Linked DNA regions of Tamandua tetradactyla. The protein of the gene in region 1 purifies or fractionates together with the protein of each later gene. This does not show direct contact. Links are inferred from orthologs where the notes say so. Each region holds a gene or a part of one and is shown on either strand. Other genes may lie near its edges.

What was found.
Region 2: the proteins of CRY1 (region 1) and FBXL3 purify together in Homo sapiens (affinity purification with mass spectrometry; 4 studies listed by BioGRID and IntAct, counting the BioPlex papers as one, with this or other methods). This does not show direct contact. The link is inferred for Tamandua tetradactyla from reciprocal best matches to the Homo sapiens genes CRY1 and FBXL3.

What each region holds. Positions count from the first base shown.
Region 1 is NC_135333.1:23,633,912-23,640,888, forward strand, and holds the start of CRY1 (cryptochrome-1), read right to left. Parts: upstream 3,009-6,977; 5' UTR 2,386-3,008; coding exon 2,228-2,385; intron 1-2,227.
Region 2 is NC_135330.1:144,769,381-144,777,276, reverse strand, and holds the start of FBXL3 (F-box/LRR-repeat protein 3), read left to right. Parts: upstream 1-4,896; 5' UTR 4,897-5,000; coding exon 5,001-5,026; intron 5,027-5,314; exon of another isoform or gene 5,315-5,334; intron 5,335-7,896. UniProt on the Homo sapiens protein: Substrate-recognition component of the SCF(FBXL3) E3 ubiquitin ligase complex involved in circadian rhythm function. Plays a key role in the maintenance of both the speed and the robustness of the circadian clock oscillation.

The DNA of each region.
Region 1 (6,977 bases):
GTTTTTTCCCTGAATAGTTGAGGTCACATATGAAAAGAAAAAATGAGATTACAAAGGTCAAAAGGCAGATTTTGAATGTCAAGGTAAGGAATTTGGGCTTTATCCTATAGTCAATAGGGAAATTAATAAAGTTGTTAAAATATAAAATTACAGACATCAGGATGTCACTTCATTCAACAAAAAGTAATTGAGTTACTAAAACGCACTCAATCTGGTGCTATGAGAACAGATTGAATATAACTCAGTCCCTGCCTCTTTAGGATGTGAAGTTTAATGACACTATTTCTGCTAATGAAAAATTGTTTTACATATAGTTGCTGTATCATTTCCTTCAGCATACAAACATACTGTAATTTCTTCCATCTTAAAAAGAATCTTCAACTTCACATCCCCCTCCAGGAACCACACCATTTCTCTGATCCCCTTATAGTAAAAGTTCTCCAGAGAGCTGTCCATGTGAGTTGTCCCCAACCCTCTCCCTACCTCTCTTTGTTCCAAAATGGCTCTTGTTTCTGACACTACTGAAACCACTTGAACTCTCAACAAGATTACAAATGACCTCAAAATGCTAAATTCAGTTTTTAATTGCAGCCCTCATCTTCCTTGACCTATCAGCAGCATATGAAATAGGTAAAGCACTCCATCTCAAACTTAACCAGGCCCAAGAGGACTCAATCATCCTCTTAATGACTTCTCTGACTTCATTTTCTTAGCAAAGTGCAACTCTATCCCACTAGCTTATCAAGTTAAAAATCTTGAAATTATTCCTAACTACTCTTTTTCTCACACCAACATATCCAATTTGTCAACAAACACTGGGGGTTCTGCCTTCAAAATACACCCAGCATTTGAATTCTTCTCACCACTTCCTCCATTATCACCACAGTCCAGACCCTTATCATCTCTCTCCCAGAAGAACGCAATAGCTTTCTAAATGGTCTTCCCGCTTCTTGTCCACCTCCAGCCCCCAGTCTTGTCTGTTCTCAGAATCACAGCAAGAGAAATTCTTTTCAAACTTAACTCAGATCCCGTCTTCCTACTTAACTCAGTAAAAGTACAAATCTTGACAAATGTCTATAAAGATCTATTCAATCTGGTCCTATTACATCTCTGACCTCTTCTACTACTACTACTTTTCTGCTCACTTATACTGTCACCTAATTTTTTCCCCTCCAGTCAATACTGACTCCTCCCATTTTCCCTCCAAAGGCAAGCATGTTTCCTCCTCAGGCTCTCTTTCTTACGGTTCCGTCGGCCTGGAATGCTCTTTCCTTACATATCCACATTCCATTACCTCCTTCATGTCTTTGTTCAAATATCACCTTTTCAATGAGTTTCCCCCAATCAACCTATTTAAAATTACAAAGCCCATCCCTATATTCCTTATCTCTTTTTTCTGCTCTTTTTGCCCCCATAGCATTTACCACTACCTAAAATATTACGTATTTCACATTTTGGGATATACGCTCAAAGAAGACAAGAATTTCTGTTTCCTTCATTGCTGTATCTCTGGCATTTAAAGCAGTACCTGGCACACAGGAGGTGACCACTATTCTATTCGTTAGATGAATAATTTTATTTCCACCAGGAGGTCCAACAATCACCTAGCCTGATACTTCAGGAACAGATAATAAAGCTTCTCTTAGATTTCTTTCAGATCTCTGGTCCCTAGAAGGATTATACTTTGCCTAGAAAGAAAAAGTGTGCTTTGTCTGGTCAACCACAAGGAGGAGTTGAGAAGAACACTGAGTATAGAGAAACCAGATAATGATGCTTCTCTTGCTTTTCCTACAGCAACCTGAAGGTGGAAGAAAACTGTATTTGGAGACGACTGTACTGAATGAATGATTTTTTTTTCATACTATGAATTACTTACACAAACGTAAACATTAAAAACAATGATCCTTTTGAAGGCCACAAAGAGGCCCAGGAAATCAATCCCGAGGCCACTAAGGACTGAAAAGCTGTTTAACTCCACCGCTGCTAAGTCTCCCTAAACTCAGGGGGAAGAGGTCCCATGAGCGTAGTGACACAAAGATGAAGGCCAAGCTGACTCTCTGGCCAGAAAAAATACTGTCAATTATATTTGATACGAACATAAAGCACCTACAATTCTTAAATAGTACAAGCAAGGCGCTCCCAGGTCAAGACTCTCGGATTCGGCTGATCGCTTATCAAGTCCGGATTCATCAAACACCGGAATTAATTTTCCCCAGGATTCACTCACCGCCACCTGTTGATCCCCACGTTGGAGGAGCCGGCGAACCAGGGGTCCAGTATGTAGACGCAGCGGATGGTGTCGGCGCCCTGAATGCATTCTTTCAGCGCGGGGTTGTCGTGAAGCCGGAGCCCCTTTCGGAACCAGTGCACCGCGTTCACTCCCATCCCGGCGACGAGCCCCTCCAGAGAGCGATTTAAGCAAGGAAGATCCAGCTCATAACCTACACCTTCGCTTCCAGGAGAATCGCCGCCCCCAAGGAGCGAGGAAAGGGCGGTGGAGGGGACAGAGGAAAAAATTACTCCGAGGAGGAGACCGGCGGAAACTGCGCCGGAGGCGCAGCTGGAAGACGAATGGAGGTTGCCCAGTCAGCGGTGTCCGGGAGTGACACCTTTTAGGGCCCGACGCCGGCCGCAATCGCCTAGACGACACGCATACGTTCGAGGGCCTCGGATCCCCGGAGTGTGAGCAAGTTCCAGGAGCTCGAACCGCCACGATGGCCGGAGCCGGCACCGGCAGTCCCAGGTGGTTGGTCACGGAAACCTCGCCCCACCGAGCCGGCCCGTGAGGAGAAAATGGCCCGCCGGAGGCGAGTCACCGCGAGGAAGGAGAGAGGGTTCAGCCATTGTCAGCAACGCTGCCTCTCGGCGGGGGAAAAACCAGCAAAGACGAAGGCCGGGGTCTAGACTGCTGGACGGTAGCCGGTGGGCTACCGATCCCGAGGCTGCCCGGGTGACTCCGCCGCCGCCGCCGCCGCCGCGTCAGCGGCCTCGGCCCCGCCCCTGACTCATCATTGGTGGGCGCTCTCCCCATGTGACCACCGGCACCTCACGTTTCTGAAGTGTGTTTACTACACCGGCTCTGGTTGAAGAATCTGTTCGCGGTTCGGGTGCTTTTAAGGGTGTAAGGTCCCTCAGCCCCAAAGCTGTCGACTCTCGTCCAGAAGTTGGGCTCCCTGACTCAGGCCCTGTACTCCGCTTTTTGGTCGCCGTTCCCTGGAGGCGCCAGCAGCAATCATAGGCCCCATGTGAGGGAAGACTAAACCTCGCCCCAGAGGGCCGTGAGCCACTACCATTGGCTGAGACTCAGTGGGACCCGGATGAGCACGGGGATGCGGGAAGCTCGCGGGTGCGCGCTTCGTTCTGAAAGGCGCGCGTGCGCTCTCACGGCGTCCTGTAGAGTAGAAGGGCGGGGCAGGGCCGGTACGCGCTCTAGGGTTCGTGGCGTGGTGCTGGGGATCGCCGGAATGCAGTTTCGAGTGTTTTGAGTAGGTGGTGGAACCAAACGAGGAACGAGGGAAGGATGGGGTGGAAGGAGAAGAGTAGTAGCCTCTACTTAGATTTAGAGCCCAAACCATGTGCTTCAGTCCAGCTTCGGTCAGAGAGCCCTCCTTTGTGAGTGTCGATTGGCGCAGCGACCAATTTCCTGTCCCTCACGGTGCGGCATCCTTGGACTTTTCTCGGGAGAAGGGTTAATAACAGGGCGGGTACCAGTATTCCTGTTCTTAACTAGCCTTATTACTATCCATCACCACATCACCCCTGATCTCTTAAAGTTGGTATGGCTTACTTTTCATTCTTGTCTACCTTTCCAGCGATAATGAACCGCAGGCTGTAGTATTTCCTTAGCCCTATGATACGCCTGTATTCATTCAACAATTACTTACTGAGACATTATTTACTAGACACTGCTCGAGGTGCTGGGGATACAGGAGAAAATATAACAACACAAAAATCCCAGTACTCCTGTAGTTTACCATGTCTCTTAACTTTTGAACTTGCAATTTTTTTCTCTATAAAATGCCCTTCTTTGGAATTGGCTCCTTACTAGAACGAACTTTGAGCTGCCTGGAATATTTCTGCACATCTTTCTATGTAATTAGTGAAACTATGCTTGTCTCTCAGGGCAGATTGAGGCCTCTTCCCAGCTGTCATACATGCGTCTGATGCATACGTTACACTATCCTGATGAAGATTAAATGAAAAGTGCCTACTGTAATTTTTAGCACGAAGTAGGTATTCAGTAATTGTACTTATTATCATAAAAGTGTCTCTCTGATTCCCACCAAAATGTGACTTCTCAAGATGAAGATCCCTGACTAGTTTTATTTTTTTTTTTTGTTTCCTCAATACCAAGAACAGAGTTTGACACATGCACTCAACTGTTTATTGAATAAGTGAATGAATTTTGTTTGTCACTACTGTGGTGGGCAAGATAAAAAGGAGGAAGGAAACTGCAATAAAGTAAATTCAGACATTTATGAAGCCAACTCTTACTTCTGTTGCCTTAGGGAAAGTAATTCTTTCTTTGGTTTCTATAAGACCATTTAAAATTGTGTATGTATGGAAACCTTTTGTTTGCTATAAAGTATTAAGCAAATACTAGTATTTGTATCGATGGGGAGGAGCCCTGGGTAATTCCTTACCACTCTAAAGCTCCAATGGCTTACCACTCAGAAGTTCTCACCACAGAGCCCTTACGTGGATTCCCTGGTGTTCCAGGGCTTATCATACTTTAAAAAATACAATGTTTTACATTTCATGTTAGGCTGTTTGTGAGTAAGCAAACTGTCTAAAGAGAAAAGAATTGTTTTTGAGCATCCCAATGAAAAAGTGGGAAGTGAAAGGAATATTGATCCACATAGAGTTGATTTGGGTTTGTGAATTGTTCATTCAATAAAAGATATTTTTAACAGACAGCTGTGTGTGGGTGTAGGTGTAACTTTCATTTAAACATTACAGTGCTACTTTAATATAAAAGCATCAGTACTGTAAAGTGTGCATTGCTCAAAGACCGAAGGTTTTTTTTGGCACATGGGTGATTATTTTAATATATCTTTGTTTTGGTGGAGAGTTACCATTTAATCATAGCTATAACTTGTTGAGCACCTACTGTGTGCTGGGTGCTTTATATCAGCTATTATTAATCCTCATAATAATTTTATGAGACACTTTATTATTAATAATAACATGCCCACTTTGCTGATGGAGAAACTAAAGCTCAAAAATATAAATAGTAGTACAATCAGGATGAAAAATCAAGACTATGTTTTGGTTTGCTAATGCTGCTAAAATGCAATATAACAAAAATGGATTGACTTTTGCAAAGGGTATTTATTAAGTTACAAGTTACAATTCTAAGGTTGTGAAAATGTCCAAATTAAGGCACCAACAAGAGGAATCCTTCACTTAAGAAAGGCCAATTTCCAGGGTTTCTCTGTCACGTGGGAAAGCACATGGAGACATCTGCTGCCCTTCTGTCCCAGCTTCTGGTTTCAAATGGCTCTCTCAGCATCTCTGAACAACTGTGTCTAAGCTTTCATCTCTATGCTCTGTGTGTCAGTTCTGAGCTCTTTTTCTCCACGAGCTCTTTTAAGGACTCCAGTAAACTAATTAAGACCCACCTTGAATGGGTGAGATTACATCTCCAACTAATCAAAAGGTCCTACCCACAACTGGGTGGGTCATATCTCCATGGAAACAGCCTAATCAAAAGGTCCCACCCAAACAATAGGTCTGCCCCACAAGATTGGATTAGTATTAAAAGAACATGGTTTTTCTGGGGTACATGACAGTTTCAAACCAGCATTTGTATAAACCCCAAACTGTTTCCTTATCATATACTAAATCTCACTGACTCCCTCTTCCCTTCTCTTTGAGAATTAGCATTTATGTATGAGGAGTGAAAGAAGTGAGAAATGGAGTGAGTGAGCGTTCTCATAAGTCACTTTTGAAATTCTGGTTGACTCTGGGTCTAAGAAGAAGAGACTGGCTTCTATCCCAGCTCTGCTAGTTAGTTGATGGTCTTGAACAGGTTACCTAGGCCTCCATTCATAAATTGAGGGGCTCGAACTAGATGATTTCTATGTTTCCTCCGTTGGGGATTGAATCATGACACCTACAGAAGGCATGCTCAGGTCCCAACCCCTGTTCTTTGGGTGTGGACTAATTTGTAAATGTCGGCTTTTAAAGATGTTATTCGTTAAGGTATGCCAAGCTGAATGAGTGTGGACCTTCATCCAATATGTCTGAAGTCCTTATAAGCAAAGGAAGTTGGACACACAGGGAGAAGCCACAGGAAGGCAAGAAGCTAGAAGTCAGTGGAACCCAGAAGAAAGAGAAGATGCTACCATGCGTCTTGTGAGGGAAAGCCAAGGACCCCCCGAGATGCCAGCCAGCTTGAATATACTGGCCCTGAAACTGTGAGCCAATAAATTCTTGTTGTTCTGCCAACCAATTGTATGGTGTTTATTTTAGCAGCTTGGAAACTAAAACACCTATATAATTTTAAAATTCTGGAGTTCTATGAATACAATCCTGCCATGGGCTCAAAAATGTCTAACAGTCCTGTGAAACATTCTTTTAATTGCCAACAATGTTAGAAAAATCACTATCTCTATGATTTCATGAGCACTCTTGATAGAAGTATGTCAGCCTCTAAACTGAAAGCCTGTGTTCTCTCTTGACCCCATCTTGCAGAGGTGTCCTTCACGGACATTCCAGAAAGGGGTAGTAGTGCTGCAGCTGTCCACTTTCGGTTGGTACCTGGATATCATGCAGAATCATCTGTAAACCAGGCCCAAGTTTTGGGATATGTTAACTGAAGAAGTAGACAGTTCAGAACCAATCCATTCAGTTGTGATTTGATGTGAATTTTAGGCTCTCAGCCTTTGGCCGAGTACCCACATGCTGGTGTCTTTGGGATGTGGATTTAATTCTGTTAAAGAATACTTACTTTCTAAGAAGGTACAATTATAACT
Region 2 (7,896 bases), on another chromosome or scaffold:
ACAAAAATATGAAAGGGTGAAGAGATATATAAGAGGTAAAGAGATGAATTGAGAAGAGCAAACATAAAGTCCTTAAGACCAAAATAGAAGGACTGGTGGGACAGGAATCTTTTTAGAGATAAAGGCTTGGGTTTTAATGCCCTATAAGGACAAGAGATGAGTTTGCAAGAGAAGTTGTAACTGAAATCCCTGCATAAAGCAGGAATTTTGAAGATCTTCATCCTCCTTAAGAAATGTTTAACTTAGGACACAAAGAGATGAACAACAAACTAATATGTCTTTGAATGGGATCTGGTTTTAAAAAGAAGGTCTTTTTAAACGTTTTTACTGTGAAATTTAACATTTATACATAAAAGTGATAAATTTCAAAGTACATTTTAATGAGCAGCTTTAGAACAAATTTCAGTGTATGGTATGGGGTACAGTTCCACCATTTCAGGTGTTTACTTCTAGCTGCCCTAAGACACTGGAGACTAAAAAGGAATATCAATATAATGATTAAGTAATCATATTCATTTGTTAAATCCTATCTTCTCTGATACAACTCCTCCTTCTCCTATGATCCTACTCCCACTGTTTTTTTTTTTTTTCCACTTTCAAACCCATTTTTTATTTTCTTTTTTCCTCCTCAACATACAGAACCTCAGGGGTGTCTACATAACCACATTTATTGCAGCTATAAAGTCACTTGATACTGGTCAGGTACCATTTATTCTTTTATCATTTTATCCCTAAAAGTTGTTGGCATCAAAATACGACAGTTAACCAGTGTTAAATCCATAAAATATTTACAGAGTATAGCGCATTAAGTTTTAGACACCTGGCAATTAAACCACATAAAACCAGGACAAGACCCCCATTACACATGTTCTGAGTCAGGCATTTAGCAGCCCCTAATACAGCATCTTTACACTAGTCAAAGGGCGGCAGAGGCAGTAGCTTTGGAGCACACTGAATATTATGATCTGGAAGCACATTATGATGTTACCCCAGTGTTATGTACCAACCCACTTTCTCCAAGGTAGTCTCATAATTCTAAAATGGCAGGTCCAGCTGATACAAAATGAAGACAAGACAACACAAAATTTATTCTGTGAAAATATCCTACTATACTATGCCTTCACTGTAATTTTGAACACAACTTGTCTCAAAAACTTGTCGTGATCATCCTGGCATTTTAGATTGGGTGGCCCATCAATCTGGCACTCAACTATCATCTCTTTCTTGGTACTGTTGGAGCCAAATCCTGGCTGGACAGAAACTACTGGCTAAATATTCCACGTGCATTTTTTTTCCCACAATATGGAAAATATTTTAAGTCTACAATTGCACTGTGAGGATAATTTAATAAAACTGCCATGTTTCCGTCCTTGGGAATGCATATTATCCTTGGTTCTCCTTCAGGTTTTAATCCAATTATTCTGTTCATTTTCACAAGAATATAAGGTTTTCCTTTGGAATAGCCAAAGTCAGGATCTCTCATACCACTGAATGCTTCAAGTAAGTGATCAACAAACTGACATGCATGATAATCTGGGCCTTTCTATTCAAAAAGTACTCCATCAGGGAAGACCATGACATTTTTCTGTCCTTGTAAATCATATGGCCTTAGAAGATTAGTAATGTCTTCAATGTATGCTTTATAGGAATCTGAATCAGACAAACCGATTGTATATTCCAATGCCGTAAATGGTTTTGGGAAAACCATAAGTCCTGGACTAGGAAGCTGGTCACAGTATTTTGGAACCTTATCATTCAGAGTCTGAAGCATAACCCACATTGTGAATGTGAAGAGTGCAGCCAGGAGCCCATAGAAGACTAGGTAGAAAAGCAAGATCAAACTGCAGCTCTTGGCGGTGCGCCCCAGGCACTCTCTAGTGGTTAGGTTGTAGACAAAGAGCTTCTACACTGCCAAGCTCTCATGGAAGAACTTCCCTTCTCCCACTCTTTAGGGATATTTGGGCAATGGTCATTCTTCTTCATGTTTAAAAGGGGTGCCGACATTATGGGGTAGGAGTATGCAGATGGTTGATGGTCTTGGAGAAACTGGTAACTAGGTTTCTGGGCTTTTCTGGCCTAGGAACCATCTGAAAGTTATAGGTTTCTGAAAAATAGTGAGTGAAACTTTCATAGAATCTCAGAGCACTGGGTACTCTTGAGGATTTACAGGGCTATGACAATTATTATTATCTAGCTGCAGTTTGCATAAGAGTAACCTCCAGAATAGCTTCTCAACTCTATTTGAAATCTCTTAGCCACTGATATCTTACTTATTTTACATTTCTTCTCCCCGTTTTAGCCAGGTAGGCATTGTCAATCCCACAGTACCAGGGCCAGGCTTATCCCTGGAAGTCCTGCCCATATTGCCAGGGAGACTTATATCACTGGAAGAAAGCCTTTTTGAGAATTCATAACCACGGGCCTACCCTCACACAGGTTGGAATTTGAATTTATACTCTCTTTATAACTTAAGTAACCCAAAATTAAGAAATTATTATAAAAATTGTTCCTGGCTAGTAATAGCCTGAAGCTACCGGCAAAAGCAAACTAAAAAACCTCTCTGGAATGACGTGCACTCAACCAGGTTGCACAAGATTTCTAGAATTAAAGCATCACAAAGGATGAATTCACAATTCAAAATCATAGAATACATTAAGGACAACCCATCATGAGCAAACACTGACACGTATCTAGATTAGACCCCTGATTACTTAATATGACTAAAAAGATTACAGAAAAATAAGAGAAGAATTTAAAACATGAGAAAAGAACATCAAGAAAGATCATGCAGATGTTTTACAGAACCAAATGAAACTTTTAGAAATAAAAAACACAGGCAATGACTGGGTTAAGCAGATACTGAATAGAACTGAAAAGAGAATTAGTGAATTGTAAGACAGTTCTGAGAAAACTACAAAGAATTAAATATAGAAAAATAAAGAAATAACTGTGAAATTAAGAGATACGGCAGCAAACCTCCCACGTAGAAAAATCCCATATAGTTTAAGGAGCATAATTCCCCACCCCGCCAGTATGGGTTAGACATAGTGAGTTCCTTACAAACAGAGCATAGAAGGGGAAGAAAAGAGTATCTACTGTGGAGAAAGTTGACCTCAACACCTGATCAATGCTAACACCTACAGGGTTAAGTCATGATGATAGCATGCGCCTGATGTGATGGGATGAGAATGGTATTTCACCCCTGTGGACTCCTTCCCAAACACCCATAACCCTGGTCTTATGAAAAAAAACATCAGAAAAACCCTAATTGAAGAACATTTTACAAAATACCAGATCAGCTTTCCTCAAAACTGTCAAACTCCTCAAAAACAGGTAAGTCTGAGATGGTGTATAAGGAACTACGGCCACATAACCTAGTCTTTCCTGGTCAGCGGGTGCCTAGGTGGAGTGGTCCTGGGAGCGTTCTGTTCCCAGAGGAAGGGGTACATTTTCTGTACAGAATTGAAAAACAATAACAAAACTGACTATAAGTTGTCCTGCTTTTATTATCATAATGCACCTGCAATTCTAAACAAGTTCAATAATAAAATATTGCTCCCTCCTGGATGGAACTACTCCACAGTCACCCTTTCCAACCCCTGTGCCAATGATGTTGACTGATACAATGGACAACTGTAATTACTGAATGATTTATAAATAAGCAGAGGTTTTCTTTCTGAAAAAAAGTGAAATAAAAAATTTAAATAACTCTAACAGGAAAAAGAGGGGAGGTTTAAATGCAAAGTGTGCTAAGGTCCTCCTCTACTTCAGGAGGAAAATGGGGAAGTGAAAAGCGGCCACTTTTGGAGGGTGAGAGTTTTAATGTGATATACTGGCTATGTTTTTTGATTGGTTGAAGTGTTTTGCTGTTAACCTAGTTTCAAATAAATGGACCTGAATTTGACCTATTTGCCTTTCTTCTTCTAATAATTAGCAATGCCTTTCCTAGAACGTCCTATTGTTACCCAGTCACTAAGGGACCTAAAAAAATATTGAAGTTCAGGTACAGCTGCATTAATAAGCTGCTAGAGACTGTTCCATTTTAGAAAGCTATTTACTAATCTCAGGAACCTATTTACCTCATAAAAACAAAGATGGTTTTTAAAATAGAAATAATAACAAATAATTCCTATTAAAAAATCATTTTAGGAAGATTTAGAAAATAATTACCTAAATAGAAATCATCTATAATCCCACCCTTAATACGGCAACCATCCGGTTATATTTCCTTGCAGTGTTTTAAACATTTAATGCATATATTACGTGTATATATTTTTAGAGCCTGTATTTTTAACCCCTTAGGTTATGGGGCACTAGGCGTAGCCATCCCGAAGGCCATCTCAGCGAGCTGTCAACAGCCACTGTTTATCCTTCCGCCCAGGGGAACCGGCTGCGGAGTTACAGCAGACTCGAAACTTCTCTTTTCTTCTTTTTGCACCACCTCCCTAAACTTTCCTATTTTAGCAATAATTTTAAAAGTAAGAGCCACGTCTGAGGAGATAAAGGTGGCAGCCTCTCTGGAACCAGGCGCTGGAAGCCCGCAGCCGCGCGGGGAAGGCACACCCGGCTCCGGCTGCGCACGCTACGGCTGGGCGCGGCTCCTCTACCGTCCTCCGCAGCGCGCACCCGCCCCACGCGGGGGGAGACGCGCCGGGAAAGCGCGCGGCCGTGAGCCGCAGGCGCCATTTTGGACTCCGTGTCTGGGCTGAGACGCTGGGCAGCTCCGTGGTGGCCGCAGCTCGCTGAGGGAGTCTGTCGCAGTGGCGGAAGGACCCGGAAGGGGGTCGCGTCGGCGTGGGACTGAAAAAGAAGACTTCTCCTGGGTAGCCACAGCCGCAAAGGTGGAGCCACGTTGGCGCCCGCCGGGGGACCAGCGCCTCGGATGCGGGCGGAGCGCGGGGGGCCGCGGCGGCGGGAGCGCGAAGCGGGGTTCCCGGGGGGCCTCATGTGAGAGCCGCGGGACCAGCCGCCGCCCTCCTCCCCGGACCCCGGGGTGGTGTATGGGGGAAGCCGCCCCCGGCAGCAGGTAACGGCGGAGGGGCAGGGCCGGAGCCCCGCTGCGACGACGGGGCCGGGGGAGGGTCTGCAGTCCTCTTCTTGATGGGCGGGGTTCGCGGGGTCCCCGGCGTGCGGGGGAGCGCCCCTTGGACGCTGCGGGCGGGGCGCCGGGCGCGGCTCCCAGACCTTGGAGCCTGTTTGGGGGCGTTTCCCCGCGGTGCCTGCTTCCAAACGTCAACAAGGCGTGGTGCCTGTGCGGCGGTCGCGTGCGGCCCTCCCCGTGACGCCGCGGAGCTCGCCGCAGCTCCTGCCGCGCTTGGCGGGCTTTGGTGACAGGTACTGTGGGGTTCGCGCCCCGCCAGTTCCTTTTCGGCGTCGGCTACACCAATGCTCGTAGCTTGAGAAATTACAGGGATTAGGATGTCAAAACGAACTGAAGGGTAGAGGCAGGAGTTATATCAGGGAAAGCCAATCCGTGGAGGTGGCGGAGGGAGGCAGAGACGCTCCCGCCGCGTAGCCAAGTGGAAAACTTGGTCAGCTTGTGCTGAGCAGCATTGTGCTTCCTTTTCGCGTGAACAGCCTTTTTAGGTGGAACTGCAGATAGTGCTCAGAAAGCAGCCCATCAAATGACTGGCTTGCATCTCCGAGTTAAGAATTGAAAGAGATTTAATTAATTTGTTGATGTCCGCCGAGTGGCCTGTCTTTTAATTAGAATCTTCTTTTTAACTTGAAAAAAGTTAGCTTCTACTATTCGTGAAATGTTTATAAAAATGCCATCAACTTCCCAGTGATCTACATATGATTACTGGATGTGTTCACCACGTTCTCCCTACCATCCAGTTCTGAGAGTTAATGCTGTTTCCACTTTTCTATTGTATTCCAGTCAAGGAATATATATTAATTTTGATATTAGTCAAGGCAAAACAAAAATGGAAAGGAGATTTGATGCAAAAACAGGCATTTAGCTTTCAAGAGCTAACTGCTGATGGGCTTTAAAAATTATTACATATCCAGCATATGTGAAAGTGCTGATGCAATGAGGGGCATACAGCAGCGTGTTCTCTGGTGAGCTGAAATCTATTTGATGAGTAATTTGACTGTTCCTGTCAGTTTATGGAACTGTTAGTTACTTCAGTAGCTCTCTTTGCTGCTCAACTAGTTTGTAGTTTTTCCTCTTAGGTTTTTTGGGGGGAGAGGCAGTTCCCAATAATATCAGTCCGTTCACTCATCAGAAGCTCTAATAAGTTGAATTAATTATTTGGGGCCTCAAAAGTTGTAATGTGAAATTAAACTGCCTAAGCAGCTCTGCGGAGGCCTGATTTTGTTGCTCAAGAAAGTCTCATTGATGTGTATTGTCCATATCTGTCCTACCCTCTCCTGTTCAGATATAAAAGGTGTTTTCTCTTTGACTAAAAGTAGAAGATATATAAGTTTACTGACATAAATTATTTGCAGACTGGTGGATCTGAATCGTTTAATTTTCTATACAGCAGTTTCATGTGCAGATAGAGTAAATAAAATATTTTTGAAAGCAGTGTAAATTTTTGCACGAAAAATTGGCATTTTAAAATTGTATTAAATGCCCACTCCTTTTATTTTCATGCATAAATGAAGACAATAGATTATTGTTTTTTGTCTGCATTTAGCCTTATATTTGTAGATTTGCTTTTTAAATCTAGGTTAAGATCCTAATTATGATATAATGTAGTTCAATGACATATGGCAATTGATAGATTTTTGTTCAGCTACTCATAAACTAATCAATGTTTAAAATATACTTTGGTGAACATGGAAATACTATACCTTAGTGTTGAATACTTTGGGTTTTTTTTTCCCTCCTACTCCCAACTTGGAAAAGTATTGAAATATACTTGAAAACAGGGCTAAATAAACAAATGTATCTATTGTTAGGATCAGCAGTTTTACCAAAGATAATTGTGTGAATGACCAGTTTATTTTTTAAACAGCTTTCTTGAGATATATAGTTCACTGATGATACATTTCACCCATTTAAAGTGTACTTTATTGTTTTAAACATTTTTCATTATAATAAAACATACATGGCTTAAAATTTCCCCTTTTAACTACTTTCATGTACACAATTCAGTGATACTAATTACATTCACAGATGCTCACATGGTGTGCTATCATCACCACCACCCCAGTATCATTTTTGTTTATATGTCCATATATTCTAAAGTAAGGCTAATAATTGCAGCTTTTAATAGAGTATTTCTGGTTTTAGAAGACTTTTCTCCAAAAAAATGGGGTCAGCAATCTATAATGAGGAGTAGAAATTGTCAAGATTGCTGTATTCTGTTATGAATCTTTGTATTTTAAAATTCTGAGTAGTTTCAGGTAGTCAGAGGAAAAATTATAAGCTTTGAATAGCAAATGCTTAGTTCTTTGGCCCAAATTTTATATGCTAAAATTAAAGTATGACTTTAAAACAAGTTAAAGCAGAAAAATGGGTCATAATGACAGTGTAATCTCAACCTTTGGTAGGACATTACTACTAGGAGAGGTTTCTTCTTTTTTTTTTAATTTTAAAGATTATATTGTAGATTATACCTTTGTTTAAAATCACTTCAAAATGTGTTAAAAGTTAATAAGTTTCAGTTTTCCATAAAAGTACCCTGTTAACTATTATTTTTGTTATTCTATTTTCTCCCATCCTCTCTGTCTTCTCAGTAGGCTATATATCATTTATTTCACTTAACTCAGATGCTTGGAAGTAGGAGCAATGAGGCATAGGCAGTTTATTGTACATATGCTAAGACCTGGGCTCATTTTCATGGCATGGAGGTCAGGCTCCTCTTGCCATTCTGCCTCTATTCTCCAGCTCCTAATCCTCTTTCACAAGTTTTGCTAGCTACTGGAGAGAGCTGTTCGGTTTAT